2 linked regions of the Elephas maximus indicus genome follow. The main gene of each other region encodes a partner of the protein of the gene in region 2 in a complex. Links are inferred from orthologs where the notes say so. Each region holds a gene or a part of one and is shown on either strand. Other genes may lie near its edges.

Region 1 (8,255 bases), on a different chromosome or scaffold from region 2:
CCTCCATTCTCATGGCAGTAAGAAGTGGGTGCTGAGTAGCAGCGGCTCCTTTCAGCAGTTAGTGCACCCCAGGTACACGTCAGTGCACACCACTCCAAGTATACCCATGCCTTTACTCGAAGCCCTTTTAATTATGCATAACCTGCCTGGCCCCTGTCATTTCCAGACTGCTAATTACTGGACGTGTGGAGAGTTTGATGACATAAGACTCTCTACCACCACCAACAGGCGGTTAAAGCTACTGCAGCCCAACGGAGATCTACTAACTGATTTTTTCAGTATCATTTGGTAATCAGGTTTCCTATGTAAATAAAATTTCCAAAAAAACAAAATTCATCCCTTTAAATACCACACACTTCCAGTTAATTACTATTTATGATAGCTATTTCTAGAACAGACTCCCACCTTCCTGTTTTCTTAATCATAGACTACCGGGTTTCTGTGATGGTAGCACACCAAGCAGACCTTTAACTTCGCAAATTGCTTAACTTTTCTGGACCTCAGAACCACGTATTAAACAGCAGAATGGGACTAGCTGAACTCCTGAAGTGCCTGTCAATTACTGATTGACTTACTAAATGTCTACCTCACTTCTTGTCTTTCTCAATTGGGGTTGGGGTTTTGCAAGAGAATTTAGCCCAAATGCCCTAAGACACCAGTTCTGATGATAAATCAATTTTTCTCCTATCCGTCTGGACTAGCATTAGTTATGTACCATTCTTGGGAGACTTGAGAAAATAATCACTCAAATCTTTCTGTGTTCCAGTTCGGATAAGAAACACTGTTTGAGAAAGGGTGCAACTGTGAACTAGAAATCCCTGCCCTCTGAAGTTCACAGACAAGTCACTTAAGCCAGAATCTATGGGAAATGCTAATACAGAACCATGGAAAGTGCTGTGGCAGCAGAGAGGTGACATATGTGCTCTGTCAGCCTGTGGACTGACTAATGAGACAGTTATGCTGCTTCTGATTCTTTCTGCCTCTTTTCTGGTATTAGACTGGCAGGAGTCATTTCTCTGGGCGCCCCTGTACTTTCATCTAAAAGCCTATTCCCTCTCTCCTAATTTATTCTTTTGTGTTTGATGCACACTGGAATGGGAGCTAATTGATTTGGTTAAGAGTTTTGGGTTCAAATAACGCTCTGAGGGACACCTGAAGCACGGAAGTATTTGGCTGCAACCAGTGTCAACTAATTCAGTCTCTGGATTTGAGATGAAGGAGAATGAAGTTTCTAGGGGTTAAGTTTAGACGGCTTATCTAGAGCAGAGTCCCAGATTTTCTTACTGCCTATAAGACTTTGGACACATTACTAACCTTTCTGAGTCTCAGTTTCTTCATCTATAAAACACACCAGTATTTACCTTTCAGGGCTGTAGGTGATAACTGAGATAATACATACAAGTTCTTGGTGGCTGGTGTAAGCAAGCTAATCTTTTTTAGCTTAACACAAATGAGATGTTATTAATGCACAGAGAGATTTCTATTAACCAGTCAGCGTTTTTGCAGCTAGTATGGACACTGCCTAAAAACCTTTTAACACGTGTCTCCAGTGGGTTCTATTTCAAACGTTACTGAGGCAGTCTGTTCAAAACATGAGTGTCCCAAAAATGTCACATCTCTAAAATAGAGCCATTAACAAAAATCTGGTTCCTGAATTTATGGAAAGAGACAGATCCCTGAGTGCCAAGCTATGATTCCAGCTATCAAGTCCAAATTCCTCTTCTTTTTCACAGGCTCTTTCCTAAGTATGGCTGCATTTCTTTATAGTTACCCTCTAGATGACTTGTGCAATTCTGACTCCTTTTTGTGCTTCTGTTCCCACCTTCCCCAAATATATTAATAAAAACACTCATCCAACAGACATTTACTGAGTGTCTGTCTGCTCAGTGCTGGACACGGAGAACATGATGAGTAAAACCAGATATGCTCTCTGGAGCTTGGCTACATGGAGGGAGAAGGAAAAAGAATCGAATATCACTCAAATATATGTAAAATTACAGTTCTATTGAATACCATGAGAGAGCCACAGTATACTGAAAGGGAATTTGAGTCAGTACAACAGAAGGAAGACTTTGAGGAAGTGACAGTTGAGATCTGAAGCAAGGATATTACGTATGCAAAAAAGAGGAGTGGATAGGACCCAGATAGAGCTCTAGAAGGGAAAGAGCATGGAGAACTCAAGGAATTATAGCACTGACTCGGAGAGGTGGGCAGAGGCTAAAACAGATGATGCGCGCTAGGATATGGGGAGGCTTTTATCCTGAAAAGCACTGGGATGCCTCCTAAAGGGCTTGGGTAGGGGAATGACATCAAATTTTTGTTCTGAAATGCTGTGTAACTATGGGCAAATTGGTTAACCTCTCTAGACTGGGCATCAGATTGCTAAGTGGAGAAAAGATTCAAAGGAATCAAAGGCTAGAGGTGGGAAAAACAGGTGCCTAATAAGACTTAAATTTCACAAAGCACTTTACATCAGGAAAAGACTAGGACAGACGGTTGTAGGTTGCTCCTATCATTAGAAGCTACAAACCCATTCTTTCTAAGAAGTTGCAGCCCCAAATGGCAAACAAGTCTGCTGCTGGGAGGAAGCTTCTCAAAAAAGATCGTTAAAAATATATATATGAGACCAAACGGTCAACATTTACCCAAAAGCAAAGATGAGAAGGTTGCGTGAGGGGGCAGGGAAGCTACATTAATGGAAATGGAACAACCAGAACTGAAGTAAAGGGACTGTTGACACAATGTGGGCTGTCCAAGAAAAAGGGAACAGTAAGTGCAAAGATCCTAGCGAGGGAAAGAATTCGGCGTGTTCAAGCAGTAAGGCGGCCAGCTGGCTGAAGGTCACTGAGTGAGAAGTGCGGTGGGTCCTAGGGGTAGGCAGGCGGCTCCATCAGGTAGGGCCTGGAAGGCTATGATTAGATTTTATTCCTAGTTACATCGGGAGGCCTCGAGGGCTTTACACACGGGAGTGACAAGATCCATAGTGAACGAGGAGAAGAGTGAAACCACTTACCCGCGGGATGACCGTGGGCAGTTCCTGAATCTCGCTAAGGCTCTTTTCCTCTATGTGAAATGGGGACACCATTAATCGCCACCTGATAGGGCTGCGAAAGCACCACACTCAAGGCTTCTGGGGCCGCAGCCTGAGTTTACCTGTCCTCCAGTACCGACTCCATGGGCTCCACCCCGTCTGTGTCCACGCCACGGAGCCGGTCGGCAAAGGCGATGGCTTTCTCCAGCCGCGCCACGGCTTCGCGGCCACCAAAGTCCACAAGCGCCAGACGCTCCAGGTGTTCTATCAACTCGGCGGTGACCTGACCAGTTCCCTGGGGAGCGAGGCCAGAGGCGTGGGTTACGGACGGGGCCTGCTCCGCCTCCTAGCCCGCTTTGCCACCCGCCTTGACGCCCAGGCCTTTACCTGAGGATCTACCTTGAAGGTGAAGCCCCGGCAGCCGCCCAGCCGGGCCCGAAGGCCCAGCCTCACCATCCGCGCCCACATTTCTCGCCTTCTCAGCCCCCGTAGTGAGCCCGTTACGTAACGCCGAGCGACGCGCCCGAGAGTGATGACATCAGGTGCGGCCCTGACGAGCCGCCGCCGCCATGAACAGCGTTGGGGAAGCATGCACGGACATGAAGCGCGAGTACGACCAGTGCTTCAATCGGTGGTTTGCTGAGAAGTTCCTCAAGGGGGACGGCTCCGGGGACCCGTGCACGGACCTCTTTAAGCGCTATCAGCAGTGTGTTCAGGTGAGTCCGGCTCGAGTCCTCCTGCCGCTACCGCCAAGGCCCCGCGTTCTCTCTACTGTGTCCCCCACCGCAAACTTCGAATTGTGCGGCGGTTGGGACCCGGAGGGTGGGGAAAAGCCGCAATGAGGCCAGTGGCAGGAGACCCCTCCCATACCATCATCACCAAGGCCTCCTGGGTATCTGAGTGACAGAATTAAGTATGTTTGCAGTGCTTTTTGACGGAGCACATTTTTTGGTCCATCTGGTGCTCATCTTAAGCTTGCAAAGTGGGCATCGTTATTTGTATTTTATACCTGGAAAACTCAAGCCCAGAGATAGGAAGTGATTTGTCCAAGTCATTAGAATTAAGTTTGATTCTCTTGGAGGCGGGGAGTGTGTGTGTGGTGTGTACGGACGCGCGTACGCTAGCGCTTTTCTAGCCTGTTGAGGGTCCCGTTGTTTTTGCTATAATCCCTTCATTGTCCCGTTTCTCTCTCTCAGCCACATTCCTCCAGCTGCATCTAGGAAATTATGATCCAGTCCCAAAGGATGTGAAACTGCTTTAAATATAAAAACTAACAGCACTGGGCAGAGCACTTCCAGTGAGTTAACTTATAACATCCTTAGGGTAATTCCAGAATGTAGTTGCTATCTTTATCCCATTTACAGATGAGTAAAGTGAGGTTTCCTCAAGGTCACATAGCCACCAAGTCCTGGAACCAAGATTTGAACCCGTGTCTGTCACTAAGAGTGGTGATAGTTTTTTGTTTGTTTTTTTACATTTAATGGTTTCCTCACCCATTTCCAATTTTTCTGTGGTCTTGCATTTAATTGCTTCATAATGGTAATTTTGTTGATTAAAAAAAGGGCATGGGGCTTGAATCTGGGTCGGTAGTCTGATTTTACTTTTGTGCCATCAATATTCTATTTACAAACTTTGGTCCTCAAGCGTCATATAAACCTTTATGATGTGTTTTCTCCTTCCATCAGAAAGCAATAAAGGAGAAGGAGATTCCTATTGAAGGACTGGAGTTCATGGGCCACAGCAAAGAAAAGCCTAAAAACTCTTCTTGACCTTGACAGTCACCTTGAAAATGAACTCCTCATATCAGCAAATTGAAGACTCTGGATTTTGTCAATTAAGACTGTGAAGAAAGCCATTGATTTGATGAGGAGTTCAGGAGGGAGTTTTATTCCTTCCTTCTTGATGCTTTCCTCTCACTTGCTTCGAGGCAATTTCTCACTTGCTCTGGCATTACGGGAATGGAATGTGCTAAAGACGATTTCTTGAGATTATGGCTGCAATACTTAGTCTGGGATCAGCTTTAAGTAGACTTTATATGTAAATAACTATAAAATAGGCTGCAAAGGATATTAGGTATACTGTCCTGGGGTCATTGTTCATGGAATCTATTGGTTAGCACTTCTCTCAGGAAGCTAATGCTCTAGAAAGGACCCCAACATGGGAGCATAGTTTTATTTTTGTATAGTAACTTAACGGTTAAGATCGCTGGTAGCTTGGGTTAGCCAAAAGGAAGACAGCTTTTAACAAACTTACAGCCTTGCCTTAAGATTTGACAGCTTCAAGTGTTGCAGCGGACACTATCTCAGAGCCTATTACAGTGTAGTTCAGGAATTTAGATACTTGGCGTAGCTATGGAGAAAGATCCTAAGTTGCAAAGATTTGCCATTGCTGGCTTCCAGCCCAAGTCAATGAATTAAGTCAACCTGTGTTATCATAAAAATGTCAAAATGCTGCATCTGGTTAAATGGGAGGAAAAAAAGAGTTTGCTTTATTTGCCTTCTTTACTTATCTTGCCCTGTTAACATCTGTAATCATGAAAATGGAATAAATCATAACATTTAGTTTCTCATTGTTTGCCCTTCAACTTCAGTGCATCAAACAACTACTACCTTGTATCCCCACACACCAAAGAAACACTGAATAGGGTTTTATATGTTTTATAATTTAAAGGTGAAGAAAAAGTAAAGATTTGCTAAAGCTAGGTTGTATGGTATAGCCATTTGCAACTTTACTGATTTCTAAAACTTTTTTCTGCAATAAAAAATCAAAAACCTGTTGCCATCAATTCTGAGTCACAGTGACGCTATAGGACAGAGTAGAACTGCCCCATAGTGTTTTCCAAGGAGCAGCTGGTGGATTCAAACTGCTGACCTTTGGTTAGCAGCTGTAGCTCTTAACCACTGCATCACCAGAGCTCCATTTTTCTGCAATAGGCTATGCAAATACCTTCTTAAAAAATTTATATTGTGGCAAAAAAAAAAAAAAAATGTTAGGACCCACTGAACAGTTATATACTTTAGAATATCGTGTAGCCCCCACAATTGTGTATCTTGAATTTGGTTCAATTTATTATTTGCCCAAAGGTTATATGAAACTCTAAAACTTGATTCACAGAAGACCTAAATTCTATTACGTTCTCTCCACTTTACCAATTCATATTTAATGTGATAGTCCTTAATGTCATCTAAAACATTTTTCATTTACATATGTGTGGACTGGCTGAAGTCCATTATATAAGGATTATAAAAGATATTTGGAATCCAGCCCAGGGAGGTTAGGCAGGAAGCTGAAGTTAAATATATCTGTTCCGAACTCAGACTGACCACAAGCACACCAGCTCTACAGGGACTCAAGTGTAGGCTGGATTAGAGAACCAGGTGGCAAAGATAACTCGGGGATTCTTTTTCTCTTACTGGAGCGTGGCTTTCCCACCATGTTTCTATACACCTCACCTTTGCACTACCAGTTTCATGTATGTACTATGCCATACAGAAACCTTGTAGCCTCTTTAACCTTCCTATAAAACTGTCCAATTGAGCCTTGCTTTGAAAAGAATAAGCCAGCTGCAAGCCAACCATGTTCTTTTATTGTAACTCATATTGAGAGGTGCTTGATCTGAAAGCTGCATATGCTAGCCCAGAAACTCACTTCCGAACCTTTGACTTTTGGGAAAAATTTGTAGGAAATTATCTTGAGCAGTCCTCTTTAGTTTTATTTCAGGGAGTGAGAAGGATATTCTAGCTAATTAATTACCAAAATAGATTTAAGAATCCCTGAAGTATAATTCCAATGCTCAAGCATCAGGTATCTAACCCTATTCATACTACTTTTAAGTCTAAAAGACAGATTAATAACTTGCTTTATAGCCATGTTGTGCCAAAAGTACTAATGTTAAATTGCTTCTGAGGGAATAATTTCCTCACCCTATTTTGACTTCATCCTCCCCATAAAGTGACTCCAACTACCTCAGCTACTTCATAGGTTTTAAATTTTGATAAGGAGTTCTTATCGGGCTTCTCTCAATTCTTATAGCTACAGGATAGAAAAAAGTTATCTGGCTATAGGGAGTATTCTCAGCAAATGCTAGGGAATGGGAAGCAACAAAGCTGAGACCTGGAGGAAGCACTTTTTCTTGAAAGTCTCAGGTACCTCTTTCAGATGTAAACCAGAGCCATTCTGCTGGCCACTCCACATCTTTGCCATTCAAAGTCTGTCAAGATCCAATCTAGATAATTCATTAGCTTCACTGCACCACCCACCCCAGACACAAGAAACCCAATATAGGCCTGTTGTAAACACTTATTCAGTGGGCTGAACCGGACCTGAAACGTAAACAGCAGCCACAGACCCTAGTATGCAGAAAGAGAAATAACATTAATGCTAACTTCTGAGGGAAAAATGCCACCAAACAATTCAACTCCCAGGTCATGACTGTTATTTATTTACGGCATCTCCTGCCCCATGCAAAATAATGGAAGATCAGTGTATTGGTCACCATTTGATACAAGTAAAAGTGAGCTTAAGGTCCCATACACTTCCTGGCCCTCATGCAGAGTAATGGTCCAAACCAGTGCTGTGGTCCCCAGTAGTGGTCCAGGTTCTCTTTAGTCATCTTCATAGCCAGTTGGAAGTGGATTCACATGAGGGTTATGAAACAGAGTATGGTTACCATCTCCCCAGGGAAAGGGCTGTGGAGTGAAGATGTCAATTAGACAATTCCAGAAAGTAGTTCAGAAACAGCATGCCTGTGAACTGCTTAATATGTAAAAAAAAAAAAAACACGGAAATTAGTCCTTACACTACTCACATATTTCAGCCTTCCCACAATTTAGGAAGATCTTATAGCTGCCAAACCAAAACCACACCCATTGCTGTCAAGTTAATTCCGACTCATGCGACCCTAGAGGAGAAAGTAGAACTGCCCCACAGGGTTTCCAAGGCTATAAATCTTCAAAGAAGCAGACTGCAACATATTTCTCAAGTGAAACAGCTGCTGGGCTCAAACTGCTGACCTTTTGGTTAACAGCCCAGCACTTAACCACTGCACCACCAGAGTTCCTATATAACTACCAGCAGGTCCTTAAAGTAAACAGGAGAAAAAGCAAGATCCAGTTGGTTACTCATAAGCCTCTCCTTGGTGACTAGTGTATCTCGTACTGTGTTTATGTAAGTGTAATTCTCAAATCACCTGTATCAGAACGGTGGGAATGGGGGAGGGATGCTA
Region 2 (8,739 bases):
TTTGTGTCAGAATCAACTCAATGGCAGCGGGTTTGGGTTAGAATCAACTCAAGGGCAGTGGGTTTGGGTTTGGGTTTGGGTTGGAATCAGCACAATGGTAGTGGGTTTGGGTTGGAATCAACTCAATGGCAGTGGGTTTGGGTTAGAATCAACTCAATGGCAGTGCGTTTGGGTTTGTGTCAGAATCAACTCAATGGCAGCGGGTTTGGGTTTGTGTCAGAATCAACTCAATGGCAGCGGGTTTGGGTTAGAATCAACCCAACGGCAGTGGGTTTGGGTTTGGGTTTGAATCAACTCGATGGCAGTGGGTTTGGGTTTGGGTTGGAATCAACTCAATGGCAGTGGGTTTGGGTGGTTTCTCAGGTAGCTCATACTCTATCTCCTCCAGCAACCCTTCCTTAGCCATCCACACCTCCCATCCAATTTCCCACAACAGTCCTCCCCTTTACTGAATTAGGAGTCCCTCATCTGGGTTTCAAAATCATCCTACACATATTAACTTCACAGGATAATAGCACTACATTGTATTTGTTTATAGGACACAACCTCCCCACTAGCCTGTAAATTCCTCGAATGTAAGGATCTTCACTCATTTTTGTGTTCCAGTTCGTAACAGTGTCTGGTGGTTAGCAGACACTCTAAAATGTCTGTGAAACAAATGAAAAAATGTATGAATGAACGGATGACTTTTGGACTTAGAAATAGAATTTTAGAGATGGGTCTTTAGAAATCATTTAGTGTATCCCATTTCATATAAAATTCCTTAAACAGGTATTTCTTAAGAGTTGCGTCAGGATATTAACACAAGGAAAACATTATCCATGTTCAAGAAAACAAAGACATTTTACTAATGAAAATAGGATTAAATAAAAGGCTTACCGGCAAAGTTCCAGGCAGAGACGCGTCAAAAAAAGAAACCAAAGAATTTGGAGGTGCTGCAAAGTGGACTTGCGATCCAGAGAAGAGTTTAGAATTGGAAGAAATCTGTGCATGAATTTCCAAACCTACCACAGCTGCCCATTCGTGTTCACTAAAGAGAAAGACACACGGTTAAGAAGTAGTTACGCGTGAATTTCTATGGGCCTAAAGCCCAAATATTCATTTCCTAATTGTGTTTTTAACTTACTAAAATTTTATATCTTCACATTTAAAAAATGTGTCCTATTTTATGGGTGATTAAATGAAAAACAAGTCATAATGAACACCTTGCAACAAGACTGGCAAAATAAAATTAATTTACAACTTGGTGTTAGCAGAGTTCACCGTACAAATAGAAAGGTGACACAGAATGGAACAATTTGGCATCTTAAAATAATTTAGAAATGGGTAGCAGGTGACAAGTGCCTGGCTGACTTCGGCAAAAGGCAGCATTTTCTAAATTACTTGTCCCTTATCAATTAATCACTTGGTAAATGAAGAAAACTGACCTTGTGAACATTATTTAGAATTAACATAAACATCAAGATTCTATTATTACAGGAACAACAGTAAATAAATCATTCCAGATCTCATTATTAAAAAAGGAAATTCTCTATCATGTTGTGAATACATTTTATAACAACGGCTTGCAAATACAATTACCAGAATGACTCGGATATAACAGATTACCACTAAATGGTACTACTGGGAATTTTGTGCCTAGGAAAACATTAAACCATTACATGTGACATTTTTTTTGGTCCCCAAAATGATTTTCAATTCCTAAGATCTAATTTTAGGTTCCTTTGCTTATTTCTTCAGGTTTGACTGCTATCAAGTCAACCCAGAAAAAAAAAAAAAAAAGCCAGTGCCGTCGAGTTGATTCCGACTCATAGCAAAGGCACCGTTAAATGCTATAATAACCTCTTATCTGGCGACTCCTACTCTGCTGGTCTGCACCATTCATTTCATGCACAGGTCTCTCCAGGCGCTTTTAAGTGTGCTTATTCCCTCTGAAAGTCATGTACGCTGGGCAATCTCCAGAAGGTCTGTTTACACACACTCTCTCCATATTTTGTCTGTTCCAAGCACGCTCTTCTCCCAAGCAACTTTCTGTACTATCTAGATTTTTGTTTACACGTATTGAGTTTTGTTTTCATCGTTTCAACCCATGAAGCTCTGCATGTAGTAGTGTATAGCGTAGTATAGTATAGTATCGCGAGAAGATGAATTCCTTCTTTTTAAGGTGTGGGAACACAGCCTTTAACTGAGTGGAATTCAACTTAAGAGTTCATCAGAAATTCTGCATTCACTGAAGCATTACTCAAAGTATTTTCACACTTACACTGCATGAGAGAAAAAAAATTTATTTTCAGTTCACAGTGAGATAATCTGAAATTTATGAAAAGACAGAAACTGAATGCTTCAGGATATTTCCCCTAATTATCTCACAGGATAAACAAAATATTAGAAACATGTCTTACGTTTCTGTACTTAAAAAAAAAAAACATTTGTCTTATATGACGAAGCATAAACAGCTGTTCAAAGAATACCTAACAAAACAAACTAAACTTTCTACATTAAGAGGGAAAATCTCTTCCATTTGCTGCATTCTTCTAGTTCTAGACACACATGTTCAATATAAATCACCTCCATAACTAGCTACTGTTGACTAATGACATTAAGGCACCACTATCCAGCGCTTGGTTTCCAAGGCTGGTGGTGCAGTGGTTAAAAGTTGGGCTACTAACCAAAAGGTTGGCCGTTTGAATCCACCAGCCGCTCCTTGGAAACCCTCTGGGGCAGTTCTATTCTGTCCTATAGGGTCGCTATGAGTCCAAATCCACTCCACGGCAATGAGTTTTTTTTTTTTTTTTTGCTTAATATGTAGAGAAGCAGACTGCCACAGCTTTCTCAGGTGGAGCGAGCCGGCCTTTCTGTTAACAGCCAAGTGCTTTAACCACTGTACCACCAGGCCTCCATTAAGAGCTGGATTAAAAAAAATAAAAAACTAAACCCTTTGCTGTTGAATAGATTCCAACTCACAGCGACTCTGTAGGACAGAGTAAAACTGTCCCCAAGGAATGGTTGTTGGATTCGAACTGCTGACCTTTACGATTTGCAACCCTAGCGCGTAGCCACTAAACTATCAGGGCTCCCCCTAAACATTACAGCCTCGGAAACCCTATGGGGCAGTTTTACTCTTGTCTTGCAGGATCACTATGAGTCGGAATCGACTGGACTGATCTGGCTTTTGGTTTTTTATCCAGAGTTTATACTAAAGGCTCCCCTTCTACCTTAGGAACAGTGCTGGCCGATAATAGCACTAATTAATGTCAGCTAAATATAATGCTTCTTCAAGTGTCACCGACCCCGCTGCTAACATTAAGGTGACTGGATCTACTCTTCTATCTCTGCAGCCTCGGATTCAAGGCACCACTTGCGATTTTACACTCCCGAGTTCCTCTAATGCGCCTATCTATACGAAGACAGTGATTTTGTGTGTGGGGGCAAGGCTGATAGAAGACCTGTTTCGTATTTTCATTTAGGTTTCAAGCCTCCAAATTACAGCCCAACCCCTCCCCTTCCCTCCCGCCCCACACCAAAACATACAGACAAAAGGCTCGACCGTAGTGGCCACCACCATCTCCCCCCGTCTCGTCGTTTCATCTAACTCTTAGATGGGCTGTAATGGCATGAAATAGTATACCCTTTCCTCGGCTTCTGGGCTGTGATTAGTGGCTGCAGAGCCAAAGAGCTCTGTCCTCTCATCCCGCTGAGTGTGAAGTCATTCCGAGCGCCTAGTCCGTGGCGAGAACCACCGTCCACACAGGCGAAAGCCCAACGCCTTCCAGCACAGCCCCATCGAAGCATGGGCGCCGCCATTGTACCGCCAGCGTTTTGGTCAGGTGACACAGCCGCCCTCTGCCGCGAGGCTTCCTGGGAGGCGTAGTTCCGGGAATGTGTAAAAACTCTAAAGGCTCGGACCGGAAGACTACTACTTCCGGCGAGCATTGCGACCCGAAGGTGGCCGGAACCCTGTCGGGAAGGGAAGGAAAGGAGAAGTAGAGGACGGGATAGGGTGATTTGTAAGTCGGGAGGTGTGACTCCTCCTCGCGGGGGACTGGAGAGGGTTGTGAGCGTGTGTCAGTTTTGAGTGTAAGCGCTTGCTGCTGGAGATCTGGTGCTGAGAACCCTGGCCGTGATATTATAGCCCAATTAATCTTGCGATGTAAATGACCTTGACATCTTGGCGAAGACTTCCTGGATCGCCAAACTCACAATTAGTTTCTCGGTCAACGCAGTTCACACACCTTTGGGCATTAGTTCAACAAGTACTTATTTGCTTGCCTTGTATACGCCAGGCACAGTTCTTAGGCCCTGGGGATACAGCAGAGAGCAAGACGGTCATGACCCATAAGCTCATGGAGCTTACTTTCTAGGGAAAGGAGACATGCAAAAGAGCTAGCAAAATAAGATAATTTCGTATGAGTAATAAATAATATGTTTAACCGGAGGCGCTTGGAAACAGGCTGACCTAGATAGAACCTTCAGGTGCGTTTTTACTTACTCTCCTGTTTGTTCTTGGCTAGTATCTAAACTATTCTCCTTAATGTGCGATGAAGTCTAAGCAGATACTGTTATTCCAGCAGAGGTTCCTGCTTCAAAACTCACATCCCTTGTTGAAACTTGCAAGAACTTCTTGTTTTTGAACATGCAATCTAAAATATCCATTCAACCATCCTCTATTATATCATGCTATTTAATTCTCCACTTAGTACTTAGGACTCTCTGATGTTTATCTTCTGTCTCTATAACCTCCTTTAGAATGGGGACCTTGTATGTCTTATTTAACACAGTAGTCCCTGAGCACAAAGTAGGCCTCTAAAAATTTTAATAGTGGTTAAATAAAGTAGCTCATTTTGGAGAATGCGTTTGACCAAGGATTAAATGGAGGAACTAGAAGAGGGGATAGGGTATTTTTACACAATGCGTCTGTTTGCAGGCTGCCTTGCTCCCCGCCCCCTCCCCCCCCCCCCCGCTCTGTGGGGCACCCTCACAAGCGCTGCCATGCCAGTCCTCTTCCATATGTTGCTGTAAAATCAATAACATACCTGCTTACCTCACAGGTGGGGAGGGTGCAGTGGCAAACAAACACAGAAGGTACCGTTATTTGCATAAAAATGCTGTAGTCGCTCTGAAGAGAGCTGGTGAATGGGGGGGGCAGTGGAGGCAAAGAGAAATAGAATAGTTTTAGTAGATTTAGGGAATAAGGTTGAAAGACTTGGTGATGGATTGGATATGGTGGTGAGATACTAGGAGGGTTAACTAACTCCTGGATTTCTGTCTTGCACACCTGGGTGGCTGATGGAGTTATTCACTGAGATAAGGAAACTATAAAAGAGCCGGGCTTGCTGGGTTGCCTTGGAGACATCCAAGAAGATAAGTAAGCATCATTGATGCTTAACTCTGACTATGGAGCAGAGGAAAAAGCTGCACACTCTGCATACTTCACACCAATAGGTTAGTAGTTATTGATCAATAACCTATTGATTAACTAATGATTCATTTCCAATAATACTCTGATGTGGTTATATTACACAATTTAATCCCTCTATACACTAGGAAGTGCCTGGCTAGCTCAGTCGATAGTGCATGAGACTCAATCTCAGGGTTGTGAGTTTGAGCCCCATGTTGAGATGTACTTTGGAAATCCTGGTAGTGTAGTGGTTAAGAGCTAAGACTGCTAACCAAAAGGTCGGCAGTTTAAATCCACCAGGTGCTCCTTGGAAACCCTATGGGGCAGATCTACTCTGTCCTATAGGGTCATTATGAGTTGCAATTGACTCAACGGCAATGAGTTTTTTTTTTAATATACAAGGAGGCAATTTTTAAGTACCCTAATTGAAATCATTATTATTTACTTTTTCTATCTCTTCTGCTTTCTCATCCACTATCACCTATCTGAAACATTACAGCAGAAGCACTTTCACATGGCCAAGAATAAAATGAGAGAATTGACAGAGAGTGGAAAGTCGAGGTGAAGACTTGTTCCAAAATTTACCCCTAATTATTGCCCTTTATATCAGGTTCAGATCATTCTTTAGAACTTTCAGGAGTTTTTCTCCACTGAACTTCTGTGTTTACCGCCTTTAGGTAAGCCTGCCTTGTCTTCCGTACTTAACACCTCAGGTTGTTCTGGCCCAACTGGGGGTCAGGAGAGTTGCATCTGAGCAGAGCATGTTTCTGCCTTTGATAAGACTGGACAAGAGAAAGAATCCTGTATATCAAATGTGAGCATGGGCATCCTCTAGCCAAAAGTAGAGGGAGGCCCTTGTTACCGCTGGTAATCCGCATACTTAGAACATTCACTCCCTAACACAGGGGAGCTGGAGCTGTTGTGAGAACCACTTAAGAAAGAGCAACATGCCCAAAGAAAATCCTCATTTATGGGCAAAATGCACTATAATGGAAACTCATCTTTGTTTATGAAGAATATTATGCAGTGACAGGATACCATTTCAAAAGCCCCTACCCCACCACTGGAGGGAGAGAAAATCCTATGCATATCAGTGTATTTGACAAGTCAAAGCTTTCCAATTCAGTGTGTCTTACATTTAATCATGGCTCTTTCAAAATCCCACAAGAGCCAAAGGTGGAAATAAGGGCTTTTCATTGACTTTCCTGGCTTCCCATCGACTTTCCTGGCTTCCCTTTCCCACAAGATTATCTATGATTTCCAGAAATGCCTGCTGATTTCCTTCTGCTTGGTCTGGTGTTTATGAGTGCACTGTTTGCCAAGTGCCCCTCCTGCCTGGCTAGTCAGGTGCTGCCCCTTGGGACCATTTCCTACCTCCCTCCTGCATGCCAAATCTGATATCCATCAGAACTCTGTTACAGACAGCTCTCTAGCTGAGAGAGCTATTTTGGTTCCACCAAAAAGGTGGCTGCCATCTGGAAGATACAGAGACTTTCATTTTCAAGGAACTCAGGAGGTAGTAGGACTGGGTTCCCGGCAAAAACAACATTTTCTGAGGGAGAGTCTTTCAGCTCTAATTTTATCCACATAATTCACACAGTACAAATCGGTTTAGAGTAAGTTTTTCAGAAGATATGAAAGCTAGAGAAGAGTTTTGAGTTGTTACTTACGAATGGCAATGGTTTGGAAGCATGTCAAAGAAACATGTTGGTTTTTGCTTAGTATTCTTCAGAGACTCTTGGAATTTCAGAGTTGGAACTGACTGCCTCACTTCTATGTTTGACTCAAAATTCCCAGGTATCTAGATAAATGTATTGATTTCTTAACACAGATCATTTTTCCCCCAAATCTGAGTTGTGTGTAACTGCAATCACTCCCTTTCATATCCTTTCACTGATTCGGGGTGGGGGGATAATAGGAAAAACAGGGTGTTCTAGGTGTTATAACTTCTTCAGTTACCCGGGTAGAATTTGTGAGACTAATACCCGTAGTTCTAAGCTTTCCTTTTAAAAAATGCAGTAAATAATTCAAGTGAAAACATTAAGATTTCAAATCAAATTAAAAGGAGATAGCTTCCACTATTAGTTTTGACAATGCACCACGGCAGTGCTTCTGAAAATCGATATGTATACATTTTTGAATCTTAAAATTGTGTTAACTAACCTGTTCTTTGTTTAACTGCTTTTGTCCTGTGGAAACAAAGCCAATGCCTTAATAAAGTTCAGTGGACTAATAAAAAGGAGCCCTGGTGGCACAATTATTACCCACTCGGCTGCTAACCGAAAGGTCGGCGGTTAGAACCCACCAGCCACTCCATGGTAGATGTGGCAGTCTGCTTCCATGAAGATTTACAGTGTTGGAAACCCTATGGGGCACTTATACTCTGTCCTGTAGAGTTACTATGAGTTGGAATCCTCTCAACGGCACACAATGACAGCAGACTAATAAAGAAATGCTCCTTGCAGTCCAATAGAGCTGAATGTGGACGATTATCTCAGTATTTCTTAACATATTTCTAAAGAAATCACCTTTGAGGGTTTGATCCTTCTGTAGGGCTGTAGTTTCTCTCTGTTTTCTGGCTTCTAAGGCAATAGAAGTCAGCCAGCTGCCTTGGAATTTTAAGCCATGTGGCTAGGGAGTGAGTTCTCTTTAAAAACACACACACAAAGGAATAACACTTAAAATGATGTACGTATGGTGAAAATTGACCAATTTGTTTTCAGATAGGAAGAACACTGGAACGAAAGGAGGTCCTGTTTTTGAAAAAGCATTCCGAAAATGTAAAGCTCCTCCACAGAAAATCCGCATTTTAAGATCCAGTTAAGTGTCGTTAGGGGGAAAAGAAAGACTGGGAATGCATGCATGCTGGGCAATGGGGAGAAAAAGATTCGTTTCCTTTTATTTTACCATTAATGTCTTGATTCTGATAAAATACTGATGCGGAGGGAACAATTGCTTTCTCTAGAAGATTGCTTTGAGGCAAAGAAATCTATAACTTTTTCTTCTTTTCCAATGCGAGGAAATAGCACAGCCTGTCCAATGTCTTTGTAGAGATGAAGTGCCATCTAGGGAAGATGAAGCCAATACATAGCTGCTATTAGGCTTCCTGCCCCATAAACTGTAATCTCTCTATGCTCTTCCCTCTTCTATCTGGTCTCAAGGGACAGTTTACCATTTCCCCAGGCATCTCCTCATCCAGAAAGCTGACTAATCCCTGAGAATAAACAGGAATTATGCCCAAGTAAGCCCCTCCTCAGCCCTACACAATTCCCTTGACTTACCACCTACTTGAAAGAAGATACAATGGTAGAATTCTCACTTTCCATGCAGGAGACCAGGGT

Evidence for each region.
Region 1: GATB (region 2) and GATC share a complex: the UniProt entries of both Homo sapiens proteins name them as parts of the heterotrimeric GatCAB amidotransferase (AdT) complex. The link is inferred for Elephas maximus indicus from reciprocal best matches to the Homo sapiens genes GATB and GATC.

Annotation. Positions count from the first base shown.
Region 1 is NC_064840.1:17,838,428-17,846,682, reverse strand, and holds the start of GATC (glutamyl-tRNA(Gln) amidotransferase subunit C, mitochondrial), read right to left. Parts: upstream 3,623-8,255; coding exon 3,419-3,622; intron 3,327-3,418; coding exon 3,154-3,326; intron 1-3,153. Other genes in the region: TRIAP1 (TP53-regulated inhibitor of apoptosis 1), read left to right, coding at 3,601-3,747, 4,717-4,800; cytochrome c oxidase subunit 6A1, mitochondrial, read right to left, coding at 7,636-7,719. UniProt on the Homo sapiens protein: Allows the formation of correctly charged Gln-tRNA(Gln) through the transamidation of misacylated Glu-tRNA(Gln) in the mitochondria. The reaction takes place in the presence of glutamine and ATP through an activated gamma-phospho-Glu-tRNA(Gln).
Region 2 is NC_064831.1:32,094,651-32,103,389, reverse strand, and holds the start of GATB (glutamyl-tRNA(Gln) amidotransferase subunit B, mitochondrial), read right to left. Parts: upstream 3,815-8,739; 5' UTR 3,805-3,814; coding exon 3,629-3,804; intron 1,031-3,628; coding exon 880-1,030; intron 1-879. UniProt on the Homo sapiens protein: Allows the formation of correctly charged Gln-tRNA(Gln) through the transamidation of misacylated Glu-tRNA(Gln) in the mitochondria. The reaction takes place in the presence of glutamine and ATP through an activated gamma-phospho-Glu-tRNA(Gln).